Xenopus tropicalis: one gene and its partner. The protein of the gene in region 1 purifies or fractionates together with the protein of each later gene. This does not show direct contact. Links are inferred from orthologs where the notes say so. Each region holds a gene or a part of one and is shown in the gene's direction. Other genes may lie near its edges.

Region 1 (7,865 bases):
GCATGTCGCTGCACTCTCTAGTGACATTTCAATGGCACTCTCTAGTGGCTTTCAATGGCACAATGTCTCAATATACACATTCAAGTAGGAAAAGACATTTGCACATGCATGACGGTGGGAGAATGATTTATCAAAATCTGAATCTGTAAATTTTGGAAAAATGGAAAAAAATTAAAATAAGTGAAATTAAAAAAATTGCATTAATGTCTACAAGCTTTTAGATGCCAGTATTTTATATTAGAGTTTATTGTGCTAAATTAATATCGAACTTTTGGTTTAAGTAGTCATGACTTGAATTTGTGAGTTTTAGCAAAAATAAAATAATTGAATCTTTGCAAGAATTTTAATGTTGATTAATTAGCCCCTTAATGTCCAGTGGTAAAGCTGCACACATAGACGCCATAAATACTGTGAGTGAAATTAACAAGCTATATTATTTGCAGCTGAACAGAAGCAATCAGAAATTCTCATGAGCCATAGCTCTGTGGGCTAGAGATTGGTAGAATATACCTCTCACGAAGGCATCATAGTGACTTTTTCACTTATCATTCTGGTTACACTATTTTGTACATCTATTTTTGTAAACAGGTTTACCACTTCTTCAAGAAATCAGTATAGATTACATCATGGCCACATGAGTCCTGCTTACCAGGTCAAGGCCTGAACTAGCAATCTGTGGATTCTGGCAAATGCAAGAGGGGCTGCTGTAAGATGCCATAGACAGCCACTATTTATTGGGCTGGTAGGGACTGTTTGAGCCTCTGTGTAGTTGAAATGCCAGGCCCTGTATTGAATCCCAGGCCTGCACAGGTCTTTGCACCTCTGGGCACTCACCCACAGGACAGGGTGCAAAGTGCAAATAAAATGAAGGCTCATGCCTGCTTTTTGCACTTTGTGCATGATAAATACCCCTTAGGTCTTTGAAGGTGACAGGGGGACATCCTTGCAGATTACAGGAAAAAAAAGGTTTTAGGAATGTCCTCTTCGCTATCAGAGATGATAATCATGTCATAATAAAGAATTTTGTATTTTAAATTTGAGTGCAGTATTATTTACATTTGCAGCTCTGTACTGTATTGATACTAGGGAGGGTCTGCACTTCTGGGCTTCTTTTACAATAGCATTAAATATTACTCAGTAACTTATAGCATTCTGTGCTTTAAGGGCTCTGGCACACGGGGAAGATTAGTCGCCCGCGATTAACTCCCTGTTCGCGGGCGACTAATCTCCCCGAGTTGCCTAGCCCTGCCATCCCACCGGCGAACATGTAAGTCGCCGGCGGGATGGCAGATGCGGCGGCGCGATTTCGCGCAAATCGCCGAAAAAGACTCGCGAGTCTTTTTCAGCGACTTCCGGAAATCGCCCCGCCGCGTCTGCCATCCCGCCGGCGACTTACATGTTCGCCGGTGGGATGGCAGGGCTAGGCAACTCGGGGAGATTAGTCGCCCGCGAACAGGGAGTTAATCGCGGGCGACTAATCTTCCCCGTGTGCCAGAGCCCTAAGACAAAACATAGTAAGTAGCCTTTGCTCATAGGAACCAATCCAATATTTGCTTTTAATCAGTAAATGCTATTACTGATTGGCTGCTATAGGCTTCAAAAACTTTGCACCTCTTTGTTATATAATCTCCATAAAGTATATGATAGCAAACACAGTCTTAAGCAGGCAATGCACAGACCCAGATACAGAAGTTGAAAGAAATATGTGAATAAAGAGAGAGTTAGTTAAAGAGATATGGACATGCTTTGCATATTGGTGTTGCTGTAGTTCCCAGTTGCCCATGTTATTCTGTGCAAAATGTGGGTGTTTGTAGAACCAATAAAAAGAAATTATAGAAAAAAGTGCACCACTGCATTTCCCCATAGCAACCAATCAGATCAGCTATTTATTTTCTAACTTGTCAAATTAATTTCTGATTGGTTGCTATAGGGAACTGTGCTGGTACAATTTAGCACCTATAATAGTAAATGAGTAAGGATCTTCTGAAATTTAAAATCATGTCTGGAGACCTTCTCCTTATTTGTATGCAAAGCAGAAGGATTCCTGGGTTACCAACCCAATTTAGTTCCAAAAATTTCCATTTCCATGCATACCCTATAAGCTAAAGTTCATGCACTTAGGTTCAACGCACAGCTGGGGCCCTGAATAAGTTTGGTGAACTTTAGCCTTTAGGGTATGCCAGAAAATGCAATATTTTAATAAACATGGTTAGGAAAGGATTAGGAAAAGCAGGTAGTCAGTATATTATTATTATTGTGTAGCACTGTAGGTGTATTGCTGCACAGACAAATGAAGGAAAGTCCATAAGAAAGCGAGCAAGCGTCGGTGTAAGTGCAGCCATGCATGTGTGTGAGGCAGGGAGGCTGACAGGCACCTCACCAATCTGTGTGTGAGGCAGGGAGGCTGACGGGCACCTCACCAATCTGTGTGTGAGGCAGGGAGGCTGACGGGCACCTCACCAATCTGTGTGTGAGGCAGTGAGGCTGACGGGCACCTCACCAATCTGTATATGAGGCAGGGAGGCTGACGGGCACCTCACCAATCTGTATATGAGGCAGGGAGGCTGACGGGCACCTCACCAATCTGTATATGAGGCAGGGAGGCTGACGGGCACCTCACCAATCTGTATATGAGGCAGGGAGGCTGACAGGCACCTCACCAATCTGTGTGTGAGGCAGGGAGGCTGACGGGCACCTCACCAATCTGTGTGTGAGGCAGGGAGGCTGACGGGCACCTCACCAATCTGTGTGTGAGGCAGGGAGGCTGACGGGCACCTCACCAATCTGTGTGTGAGGCAGGGAGGCTGACGGGCACCTCACCAATCTGTGTGTGAGGCAGTGAGGCTGAGGGGCACCTCACCAATCTGTATATGAGGCAGGGAGGCTGACGGGCACCTCACCAATCTGTATATGAGGCAGGGAGGCTGAGGGCACCTCACCAATCTGTATATGAGGCAGGGAGGCTGACGGGCACCTCAACAATCTGTATATGAGGCAGGGAGGCTGAGGGCACCTCACCAATCTGTATATGAGGCAGGGAGGCTGAGGGCACCTCACCAATCTGTATATGAGGCAGGGAGGCTGAGGGCACCTCACCAATCTGTATATGAGGCAGGGAGGCTGAGGGCACCTCACCAATCTGTATATGAGGCAGGGAGGCTGAGGGCACCTCACCAAACTGTGTGTGAGGAGTGACAGGAGCGGGCGGGGCGCTGCAAGTGAGAGCCGCCCGGGATTCATCCAGCCAGCGCCTTGCATTGTTATCAGTGAGTGAGGCACCCGGGGAAGGAGGAGGAGGAGGAGGAGGGAGCAGGGGAGACACTGGGAACCAGTGAGTGTGATGTTAGTGGGAAAGTGCTGTGTGTGAGACGGAGCTGGACCAGCGGCTAATAAGGACTAAAGGCTCTCCCTTCCATCTCCCCGTCTACCTGCAGCATCTGCCGCAGCGACTCTCGCTCCCCTGGATTGTCTCCTACTCTGGGTGTTTGCCATTCCGCCTCCCGTTATCCCCCGCTTTGGAATATAAGTTGGGAAACAAAAGGAAGAGGATAGCCTATGGTTGGCAGCCTTGATACCCATCAGCGGCGGCAGCTTTGAGGGACTCCTCCCGTGGGGTGGGTGCAGACTGCAAGAGGATCCCCTGGAAATCACCCGGAGCTTTGTGTTTTGTTATTCGAGTCCCGCTGCCCATGCCCGGCTCCCCGGGCACCCTGCTGCCTCTGTAAGCCTGGACTATACCGGCGGCTCCTCGTTGTTCATCTACAGTCAAAGCCATCTCCCTCCCCGACCCTTAACAGCAGCACCATGTGCCGGAAAGAGCCCTTCCTGCTACCGACTGCCCTCAGCATCCTAGCGGCCCTGATGCTGCACCAGGTAAAGCCCGTACGGCCCCGGGGCTTGGCTACACGGTGCGCTCTGTGCGTCTGGGTAACATGGGCACCGCCAGCCTCACTCCCAATGCAGCGGCTGCACTGCTTCCCGGCGACAGTGGAGGGTTGGTGGGAGATGCAGTCCGACAATATAGGAATGTAGCCCTGTGCTGGGGGAGATTATGGTGCCTCTATGTTCATACCCACCTCCCTAAAACCGCCCCGTAGGCCCAACAGCGGCCGGTAACTTGTACACTTGCTCCTAGGAGCCTGAGTGGCGCCTCCCAGACACCTGCCGCTAGCCCGGCATGGCACACTCCCCCCTGCCGCTAGCCCGGCCTGGCACACTCCCCCCTGCCGCTAGCCCGGCCTGGCACACTCCCCCCTGCCGCTAGCCCGGCCTGGCACACTCCCCCCTGCCGCTAGCCCGGCCTGGCACACTCCCCCCTGCCGCTAGCCCGGCCTGGCACACTCCCCCCCCCTAGACACGGCCGCTTGGTACCGGCGATGCCAGGGAGCGGGTTCGCCTGAGGTCTCTCGCTGCCCCTGTCCCTCTTGGCTCTCCCGCTCATGGCAGGTGGCGCTGGGATGCGCTTGTTCCCCGGTCCCCTCTGCCTGCGGATAAGGCACTAGGGCTAAGGGCAACCGTTAGTATTAGTATTAGTAGGGGGTACGGGGCATTCAGTGTACAGGGAGAGACAACAATGAACAAGGGGCTACTGTCCTTCTTCCCCACAGAGACATGAAACAATTTATGTCAACTTGTCCCTTTTGTAATGTCTGTCTGGATTGAGATGCTAATATTGCCTTTTATGTGGCCTTTACATTTATATATTGGGTACTCCATGCTGTGGGGGTAAAACCCCTCCCCCCAGAAGTGCCTGAAATTACCCTTCCAGCCCCACACTGATACCCAGCCTGCTCAGCTCTTCCATGTGCTTGGGGTGCCCGCAGTGCTTCCATGAATACTGCCCACTGGTACCAGGGGCTACAGGGCAGTGTATAAAAGTGCCTGTGACTTTGTGTGTGTGTGCTGGGGGTGGTGTGGTGGGGGGTTGGTTGTGATTGCATACAATAACCCAAATGCTGCTGCTGTGTGAGACAGTGTGTAAAAGCTAAAATGAAGACTCCTGGCAACAGTAGCACAGATGGTGCAGATCTTTGTTGCATAATACTATTTACTAGTAGCTGGAGGGAGATCCTCAATCTCTTTAGCTGCCTGACCCTCTCTCCTCTCCATTCCTTCTCTGCTCTACTCTATCAGCAAATGCAAGTGTGTAAGCTTTATATTTATTTATCTACATTCTCTTTGCCTCCTATTACTTTCCTAGCCTTTATATCAGGCACATTGTACCTCTAATAAGCTCCTGGGCATTCCATGAAATAGACACTGTCTCTGATTTTAAGGGGCGGTGGTCTTCAAGGCTAACTGCCTACTTTGTGTGGGTGGGCATATTTGGCATTAAAGGATCTCTTTGTATCTCATAGTAACAATAAGGTGAGGGGAGTGGTGCTCCTTGGAACATTCATTCCCTGCATCATCTGCTTTATTGTTTTGCTAACTCTGGATATTTGTTACAACTATTTTTCCTTTATGGCTGTTTATTTGCAATTGCCTTTCCACCCACCCCTATGTCTCTGTACACCCCTTCCATTTCCATGTTTCACTCTCCGTTTTCTCTTTTGTTTTTTTTTTTCAAGTCTGTAGCTCTTGCCCTGTGCCCTGTTCAGTGGAGTTTCTGCATCTCTGCAGTTACTGTCCATGGTGTTTAAATTGGAGCCAGCATAGCCGTAGGGATTACTTAGAGTCTGACTCCAGGTTTTACCGTCTGTAAGCCCTAATGTGCTGACTGTCTTCCTGCTTTTATATGCCTTTTGTATGGCGTATCTCCTCTGCAAAATGCTTTTTAAGAAGTCACCAATCTCATCCATGTTTCTCAAAAAAACCCACAACCCCAATCAGACAAATCTTTGCCACCTGAATTTTTCAATAATTAATAACCGAAAAAAAAGCAAATTTTACACACATTTCTCAATGGAAAGGCACATAACTAACCCACTAACCCCAGATTTTTCCCAAACAAGGAATGAATGAACTCCTTTACTCCTGACTGCAGCACAGTACATGGGAAAACGCATTGAGTCTAAGGCTCAGCCCTTGCCACAAGATGCAGTAGGTGCCTTTCGGAACCAATTACTATTCCAATGACTTTTAGAATTGCTTTATTTCTTAATTAAAATAAATAAATCACCCTCTAAAAGTCTTATTATTAGTTTAAGTGCATTTTCTGGTAAGGTTGTATAGAGAGTGATCAGACAGATGGTGTGATTTTGGCTGGGCACAGGTTTAAGGCCTTGTAAACCTTACAGAGTACAGATTGTGCTTCAGTATTCTGGAAAATGGGTTTATATCTCGACACATTGTAATACATATTTGCAGTGTGATTCCCTTATTCCTTGGAGAAATATTTTAAGTTACAATAATTACATTGTTCAGCATTTATGTACACTTATATCTGGCTGTAGTGACATTCGGGATTTATAGTTATTTTTGCTGTTAAAGTTACTCCAGGCAGTGAATAAGGTTCCATAGCATGATGTATTGCATAGGTCTGTGACATTTCATTCCTATGGATTTCATGTGAGAAGGTGACATTTGGTTGGGAGATTTTAGATAAGCTTTATTCAGGGTAAGTTGAACATTTGAGCAGGAAATGGGCTTTGTTTTATCAATATCAGAGGCATCAGTAATGTTCCAGCTGTGGAATTTAATTTCCCTTTTCTGTTTTAATATTCTCACTGGTATGTGTCATGCAGCACAATGGAATGTCACAATTCAAAGTATAGGGCACTTGCTAATTCTAAGACCAAAGATGTTGGGAAAGAGTATAGATCCACATTGAAATAAGGAAATTAAGCTGACGGCTCAGAACAAGCAAGTGTTATTGGCAAGATGAACTATTTTGCACTGCAGAAACAATCCCATTTCAACTCGGAGGCTCTGCCCATGTCCACAATCCTCATTTATGTATAAAGAAATGATTTAGAGTCATAGGTTTTAAATACATAAATCATTCAGTTAGTTTTTATTGAAAATATGTGCCAAAACCCATATAACAATAATAACAGGGATTCACTAGATTCAGGATTGTAGTTGGGATTTTTATTTACTTTTTTTTTTTGCAAGGTTTGGAGGAAGTGGATTTTTGGGAAACAAATCTGTATCCTTAATGTCATGTGACTTAAAGTGCTTAATAACTGAGGTGTCCAATGCAATTCTGTTCTCAGATCTGAATATGCAGATTATTTTAATGTTATCCAGGAACACTTGCACATTACTGGGCTGCATTTATTGAAGCCAGCATGTTCTTCAGCACTCTTTGTAAGCTCTTTTGGGCAGGAATCTCTTTATCTCTTATATCAGTTATTGGTAGATTTGAATGTAATTATGTATGCTCAGTGTATATAGACATTTATTGAACCTGGCTGCAGAATATGTCGGTGCCTAATAAATACATGTTAATTATAATACTAATAATAATAACCCTTCTTGCTGGAATTACTAGAAATATCAATGTGTTTTCACATTATCTGGTAAATTTAAATTATTGGTCAGTTTAGTTTGTCATGTGGACAGATATTTATTTGGTGTTATTCTTAAAGGAACAGTTGAGTGCAAGAATAAAACCGGGAAAATAGATAGGCTGTGCGAAATAAAAACTATTTCTAATATAGCTGGTTAGGCAACAATGTAATCTATAAAGGCTGGAGAGAGCAGATGTCTAATGTAACAGCCAGAACACTACTTCCTGCTTTCAGCTCTCTAACCTCTTAGTTAGTCAGCGACTTGAGGGGGAGGGGCATATGGGACATAATTGCTCAGTTAGTTTATGAGCATGCAGGTCAGATTCAAAAGCAAACTGACTGAACAGTTATATCCCATATGCCCCTCCCCCTCAAGTCACTGATTGGTTACTGCCTTTATAGATTACATTT
Region 2 (7,741 bases), on another chromosome or scaffold:
AAATGATTCCCCTTTTCTCTGTAATAATAAAACAGTACCTGTACTTGATCCCAACTAAGATATAATTACCCCTTATTGGGGCAGAACAGCCCTATTGGGTTTATTTAATGGTTAAATTATTCCCTTTTCTCTGTAATAATAAAACAGTACCTGTACTTGATCCCAACTAAGATATAATTACCCCTTATTGGGGCAGAACAACCCTATTGGGTTTATTTAATGGTTAAATGATTCCCTTTTCTCTGTAATAATAAAACAGTACCTGTACTTGATCCCAACTAAGATATAATTACCCCTTGTTGGGGGCAGAACAATCCTATTGGGTTTATTTAATCTTTAAATGATTTTTAGCAGACTTAAGTTATGGAGATCCAAATTACGGAAAGATCCCTTATCCAGAAAACCCCAGGTCCAGAGCATTCTAGATAACAGGTCCCATACCTGTACTTGTAGTTTTTGAATTATTTAGCTTTTCGTGCTGCAGCTCTCCAGCTTGGAATCTGAACAGCTGTCTGGTTGCTAGGGTCCATTTTAGCAACCAGAATGTGGTTTGAAAGAGAGACAGGAATATGAATGAAATAGAAAGCCATGTGATAAAACTTACAATTCAAAACAATAAAAAAAATAAAAACGAAGACCAACCGAAAAGTTAAGCCATGCTATAACATACTAAAATTGAAACTAAAACGGTGTTCTGCAACTCGCAATAAGCCGCTGGCATTCTGGCAGAATCATTTCAGTTAAAGAAAATCATTAAAGTTTAAATCCTCTGAAGTTCTCTGCAGTCTCCTAATGGCAGATTAGCAGTGATTGATCTCTGGTTGCAGTCTCTGGTACTCCCGGCCCACTCCCTGCTGGCTACGGTCAGCCCTGAATGCAGGGAAAGCCGCCATGTAACCAAAGGTACCCCCCATGCCCCATGGTACACTCTTTTCTTCCCTTAGAGCAAAAACATTAGCGGTTTAAACTTTAACTCAAGGAATCATGGGAGGAATCCCTGTGGCCAACTGAGCATCCATAATTTACTAGCACAGGCACCGCCTCTCCGCTCAGCACTAAAATAATTCACACTATTCCGTGAAAATTCCAGGCACCCACCCCTCCTGCCAACTCTTTAGTAATAATAGTGCCCCATCCAGACAAAATCATCCCCCCTTATTAGTCACTACCTCTTTCACCTGCTTTTTGGGAGCAGGTTTTGGTTCCCCTTCCCTTCGCAGGTTACTGATGCTGAACTGACAATCAATGCTCTTACAGTCACATACAGAACATCCCCTAAAATTAACAACCCACCCCCATTGGTGGTGTGGAAAACCTCCCAGAATTCCTCTCCCACATACCTATTGTACAGCGCTGCGGAATATGTTGGCGCTTTATAAAAGAATGGCCTATTCTTAGCAACTTTTTAATTGGTCTTTATTTTTTTTAATCATCTTTGAATTATTCTGACTCTTTCCAACTTTCAAATGGGGGTCACTGACCCTGGCAGTCAAAATACTATTGCTCTGTGAGGCTACAATTTTATCATTATTGTTACTTTTTATTCCTTATTTATTTAGGCCCTCCACTATTAATATTCCAATCTCTCTTTTTTAGATTGTTGCCTGGTTGCTAGGTTAAACTGAACCCTAGCAACTGGAGAGCTTCTGAAGTGCTAAACAAAAAAGTAAATAAAAAGGTGAACAACCCCTTTATTCTTTTGGGCTCAATGTGTTGCTGTCTCCTCTGGCAGCAAGAAGAAAAATCTCTAATCCATTGGCTATGAATCATTTCAAATCATGGGCACTGTTCTCACACGGCTGAAGACTGTCTGGTACAGTCATTGAAAGAATATTCCCATTAACCGGGCACTGTATGTTGGGGAGGGGGGGTAAGGGCATGATCTACTAAATGCAGTGAATAAAGTCCACTACAGTAGGGAGCTATATGTTCACTTTACATTCAAAGTGACGGCAATTGGAAAGCCAATATTTGCTTGTGCCCATTAAAAAACATAATTTCCTCCCAAGTGAACACAACCCCGGAACTCCCATTTAACTCCAGTGAGGACAATGTATCATTGTTATGTACAAGTGAAACTTCCCTGTGTTCTGTAGGGTGCCCCCTGGTAAATACAGTTGCTTGTCACTGTACTGCTGACCCTATGGGGCCACAGCGGAGCAGGGAGTCTAGTTCTCACCCCCCAGGGAAGAGCCGCTCCCTCACTACATTCTGGGATGTCAGGTCGTAGGGAGGGGGAGGTGACACGGTGTATTGTCATTCCACTGTTTGGTGGGGCAGGGGTGGGATTGATCTGTTTCATAATTACATCCTAATGTAGTCATTTAGCTACCAGACATTGTATTGATGTCAGCGTATGGTTTAAGCATAACTAGATATAAAGCAAAAAGCAGCGATTAGCAGCCTAAACTACAACTCCCAGCACTCACCATCAACTGTTATGGGTAGCTGTAGTTCAGGGGTCCTCAAACTACAGCCCGCAGGCCAATGGCCCCCCAAGGTCATTTACCCAGCCCCCCACTGGGACTACGCCGAGGCAGACAGGTAGTAGCCAGGGGTGAGGACGCAGGCGTAGTTTGAAGACTAGCCCCCCAACAGTCTGAGGGACCGTGAACTGGCCCCCTGTTTGAGTTTGAGGGCCCCTGCTGTACAGAGTACAGAGGCTAATATGTACTATTTCAAAGCTGTACTGTAAGGGAATCTCTTAATGTGTGGAAACATAGGCTGTCAAGGCATGCTGGGAGTTGTAGTCCAATAGCTGGAGAGTTGCCATCAGATAGTATAGTCTCACAATAAGGGAACACTTATAATAAGGAAAGCAGAAATGAGTTGAACTAATAATAAAGAGACTTTGTAGTGTTCTTGTTCTCCTGACAGAATGGAAGGCTTGCGTATCAGAAGCCCCTGAATACGCCCCTACTCAGCACCAGTTGCCCTATAAAAACCTCCATAACAGAAACTACAGCTCACACCTCCCCTCCCTGTCTGCTGCCCTTGTCTCTCTCTTTCTGCCTGACTCACCTGCACAGGTGAAGCCCATAACGTCATTTAAAGGAGGGCATTACAGGTCACACCCGTGTCTGCGGGCAATGCCCCCCTCCGCAGCTATTGGACGGCGTTATTTGGATTGATATAGAACTCCTCCAATCAGAGTTCACCTTCCCAACTTGTGCCCAATCGCAGATTACAATAGGCATGGAGTGAAACACAAGAATGATTGCCAGCGAAGGCAGCCAATGGGGAAAGTGTGGGCTTCGTGGGGTGGGCGTTTGGGAAGGACTGGGCGTTGTGACTGATTCACATGTTTTCCAATTGAAAGCAAGAGACGGCCGGGCAGTGGTTATTGTCAGGCTGGGGGGCGGGGCGTTGCTGGTTGGGTGGGGGGTGCTGCTGACAGCTCGGTGTAGGGCTTAGTTGTTGGAGTGTTCAGGTCTGGGCGAGTTCCTGACTGAATTGTGGGGATACAGAGGCCTCTTCCAGCGCTTCACAACGCAGGGTAAGGAGCTGCCATTATCGCTGTGTGTGTGGGCTGGGGCGGGCTGGGGAGACTGGCATCTCTTGGTCTATGGCGTGTCCTTCCCTGCCTCTAGCCTGAAGCGCCTTCTCTTTCCTCCTATGGAGCCTGTAGGGCTGTTGGTTCGGGCTTAGCTTTCCTAGTCTCTGAGCTGCTGCTGCTGAACTGCAACTCTCAGTATTCTATGGCAGCTACCCTGCTAGAAATGATAGCTTGGGATAGTCCATATGCCTGACTGCTGCTGAACTGCAACTCTCAGCATTCTATGGCAGCTACCCTGCTAGAAATGATAGCTGGGTATAGTCCATATGCCTCACTGCTGCTGAACTGCAACTCTCAGAATTCTATGGCAGCTAACCTGCTAGAAATGATAGCTGGGTATAGTCCATTGCCTCACTGCTGCTGAACTGCAACTCTCAGAATTCTATGGCAGCTAACCTGCTAGAAATGATAGCTTGGGATAGTCCATATGCCTGACTGCTGCTGAACTGCAACTCTCAGCATTCTATGGCAGCTACCCTGCTAGAAATGATAGCTTGGGATAGTCCATATGCCTGACTGCTGCTGAACTGCAACTCTCAGCATTCTATGGCAGCTAACCTGCTAGAAATGATAGCTGGGTATAGTCCATTGCCTCACTGCTGCTGAACTGCAACTCTCAGAATTCTATGGCAGCTAACCTGCTAGAAATGATAGCTGGGTATAGTCCATTGCCTCACTGCTGCTGAACTGCAACTCTCAGAATTCTATGGCAGCTAACCTGCTAGAAATGATAGCTGGGTATAGTCCATTGCCTCACTGCTGCTGAACTGCAACTCTCGGCATTCTATGGCAGCTAACCTGCTAGAAATGATAGCTTGGGATAGTCCATATGCCTTACTGCTTGCTGCTGCTGAACTGCAACTCTCAGCATTCTATGGCAGCTAACCTGCTACAAATGATAACTGGGTATAGTCCATTGCCTCACTGCTGCTGAACTGCAACTCTCAGCATTCTATGGCAGCTAACCTGCTGTAAATGATAGCTTGGGATAGTCCATATGCCTTGCTGCTGCTGAACTGCAACTCTCAGTATTCTATGGCAGCTAACCTGCTGTAAATGATAGCTTGGGATAGTCCATATGCCTCACTGCTTGCTGCCCATCACTATTAGTCCCTAAAAAAAAAAAATAATATTCTCAGTTTCCCCTTATATTTCAGCCTGTTCCTTATCTATGGGTTAACCCTTTCTCTCCTTGTTGTAACCCCTTCACTGGTGTAACACCTGCTCATTTAACCCCTCCTGTGCTTGCTCTTCTCACCCTTCCCCTATCACCTCATGTGTTACCTTTGTATTTACCCCAGGCAAATGTATATACTGGCTACACCCATCCACACTGATCCCATGGAGGGAAAGTCTCTCTCTCTGTCTGAATGTTTGTTGTTGTTTCTTAAATACCTCCTGTTGTGCTGCTCTGTTCCTGTGTATTGCTACATTGTGTCATTATTCCAGCCTTCATAGCAAGTGATGATTTCTTCTATTAATGCCTATGGGAGAGCAGGTTGGACTTGCTACTACGGCGGATAAAGCATGTACTGTGCTTTTCGCTACAGCTGCCAGCTGAAGGCTGTTGGTGCATCATGGGAATTGTAGTGTAACAATATATGGCCATTGGATTCTGCCCTCGTTAGCATAACCTGTTTATCTAGCAGTAATCCTTTATCCATACACTGTAGAGCTGCCCATACACCCACCGCAAGATCTACTCGTTTGGTGAGGTTGCTAAATAAGCGGAGAATTACCCCATTAAGCCACCCAAACTGGTCTGATAGACCCAACTGGCAACTACTGGGTTTCAAGCTGAGAAGGGTCCTTGCCCGACTGGATTTACCGACCACATGTAGCTGACTTTCGCGCAGATATCCTTTGAGTAGGTCCAACTTGGTCATAATTGGGAGGGGGGTTTATATTGGCTTAACCCTATAATGGAATATTTAGTAACTAACCTTATACTGTATATAAATACAAAATCTATTGTGCAGACGCAGGCAACCCACCCCTGCCCCACCAAACAGCGGTATGACAATACACAATGTGACCTCCCCCCTCCCCACGACCTGACATCCCAGTATGTAGTGAGGGAGTGGCGTTACACAGCACAGACTCTTCCCTGAGGGGGAAACGACATTCTCCGATCCATTGTGGCCCCCAGTCACAGACACACACAGCACAAATGTTGCTTCTGGCCAAGCAGATCAAGTCATTAAATATCTGTAATTTGGGCGGCGTAAAGCATCGACCCACAAAGCAGAATTACAGAATACATGTACGTAACATTTTGATACATTGTCATTTCATTTGTGCGTTTTTATGGGAGTTCTAGGGGTTGCGTTCACTTAGGAGGAAGTTACGTTTTCGACAAATATTGTCTCAGTTAATGGGCTTTTCCATTGCCGTCACTTTAACAAAGTCACATATATCAGTGTTTGGCTTTTTACAGTAGTGGACTTTGTGCGCTTTATTTAGTAGATAGTGCCCCCGCCCACATATAAAGCTTTCGCTCCGTCACTGTGCCAGGCATTCTAAGGACAGTGCCAGGAGTGAGCCCATCATTTGAAATGATTCATGGCCACGGGCTTTGTGTTTTCCCTTCTCGCTGCCAGAGGAGACAGCGGCACATTGAGCCCAAAAGATTAACAGTTGCTTTAGGTGATTGAAAGAATCTGGGAGAGGAATTCTGGGAGGTTTTCTAGACCTCCAATGGGTGGGGGGGGGGTGTATGTTAATGCTAGGGTTGCCCTTATCTGGGGGTGTTCTGTATATAACTATAACTGATCTCTGTCCCAAGATCACTGAATGTCGCAGTTCAGCATCAGTAACTTAAGAAGGAAAGGGGAAATAAAACCTGGGTGTGGGAAAGCAGGTGATACAGGTAGTGACTAATAAGGGGGGCAATATTGTGTGGATGGGGCAGCAGGAATGCTGCGGCTGTTGTCAGGAGGGGTGGGTGCATGAGTCAGGCTTGGAATTTTCATGGGATGGTGTGAATTCTTTCAGTGCTGACAAAAGCAGCCGGGGATGTGGGGGGGATGTGGGGGGGGATGGAGTTCAGTGACTTTGCAGAGGCAGCGAGAGATCAATCACCGGTAAGGAGGATCCTCCTCTCGTGTCAGAGGGGCACTCGTAAGAGACACCTTAGGAAAACTGATTCTGTGTTACAGTGAATCATCCAGAGGCTCACCTCAAAATTATCTTTTAATATCTTATAGGTGGAATTGTGCAGTTGGTCCCCAGCCTGGTTGCTAGGCTTAATAACCACGGCAACTAGATAACCGTTTTGCGCTCCAGTACAACAAGCTCGCAATAATTACATTACAAATTCTTAGAATACTGCTTGTTTGCATCATTCGGATAATGTACCTCCCTGCATGTTGTATTATGAAATGGAATCCTAATCAAGTTTTCCTTTTGCTTTAAATACAGATTATCATTTTAAGTATAAATGCCCCCCCCCCCCGCCCCTCGTTCCTGCTGCCCCTATGCTCTTGGCCACTCTTCCTCCAATTCCCCCCATACCAACTGTGCCCAAGGCATGTGCTGCTCCTGTCTACCCCTGCTTTTGGCCCTAAATCAGCTCTTCTCCAGCTGAGACTCCATTTCCCACAATGGCTTGCATATTCCCCTTACCCCTTGATTCTTCAGCCTCTATCACCCTCCAATTTCCCCCCTTGCTCTCCTCCAACTAAGACTACATTTCCCACAGTGCCTTGCACATTCCCCTGAGCCCCTATCACCCTCCAGTTTCCCCCTTGCTCTCCTCCAGCTAAGACTACATTTCCCACAGTGCCTTGCACATTCCCCTCAGCCCCTATCACCCTCCAATTCCCCCTTGCTCTCCTCCAGCCGAGACTCCATTTCCCACAGTGCCTTGCATATTCCCCTCAGCCCTTTATTCTTCAGCCCCTATCACCCTCCAATTTCCCCCTTGCTCTCCTCCAGCTAAGACTCCATTTCCCACAGTGCCTTGCACACTTCTGTGATTCCCCTACCTTACAAGTCACATTATATGAGAGGTGGAATTGGCATCTTGGCACCACTGGAGCTCACTAGTGCAATATTGTTTTATTGCATTAAATTAAGGCAATATAGTGTTTATTATACAGAGTTTACAGCAGTGTTGGTGCCATTAACGTTACGTGCATTCTATGGAACCCAGGCAATAAAGCTGTTACTCATGTTAATGCTCCA

Evidence for each region.
Region 2: the proteins of cdh2 (region 1) and jup purify together in Homo sapiens (co-immunoprecipitation; 4 studies listed by BioGRID and IntAct, with this or other methods). This does not show direct contact. The link is inferred for Xenopus tropicalis from reciprocal best matches to the Homo sapiens genes CDH2 and JUP.

What each region holds. Positions count from the first base shown.
Region 1 is NC_030682.2:111,092,308-111,100,172, reverse strand, and holds the start of cdh2 (cadherin-2 precursor), read left to right. Parts: upstream 1-3,373; 5' UTR 3,374-3,804; coding exon 3,805-3,873; intron 3,874-7,865. UniProt on the Homo sapiens protein: Calcium-dependent cell adhesion protein; preferentially mediates homotypic cell-cell adhesion by dimerization with a CDH2 chain from another cell. Cadherins may thus contribute to the sorting of heterogeneous cell types.
Region 2 is NC_030686.2:7,364,463-7,372,203, forward strand, and holds the start of jup (junction plakoglobin), read left to right. Parts: upstream 1-3,448; 5' UTR 3,449-3,496; intron 3,497-7,741. UniProt on the Homo sapiens protein: Common junctional plaque protein. The membrane-associated plaques are architectural elements in an important strategic position to influence the arrangement and function of both the cytoskeleton and the cells within the tissue.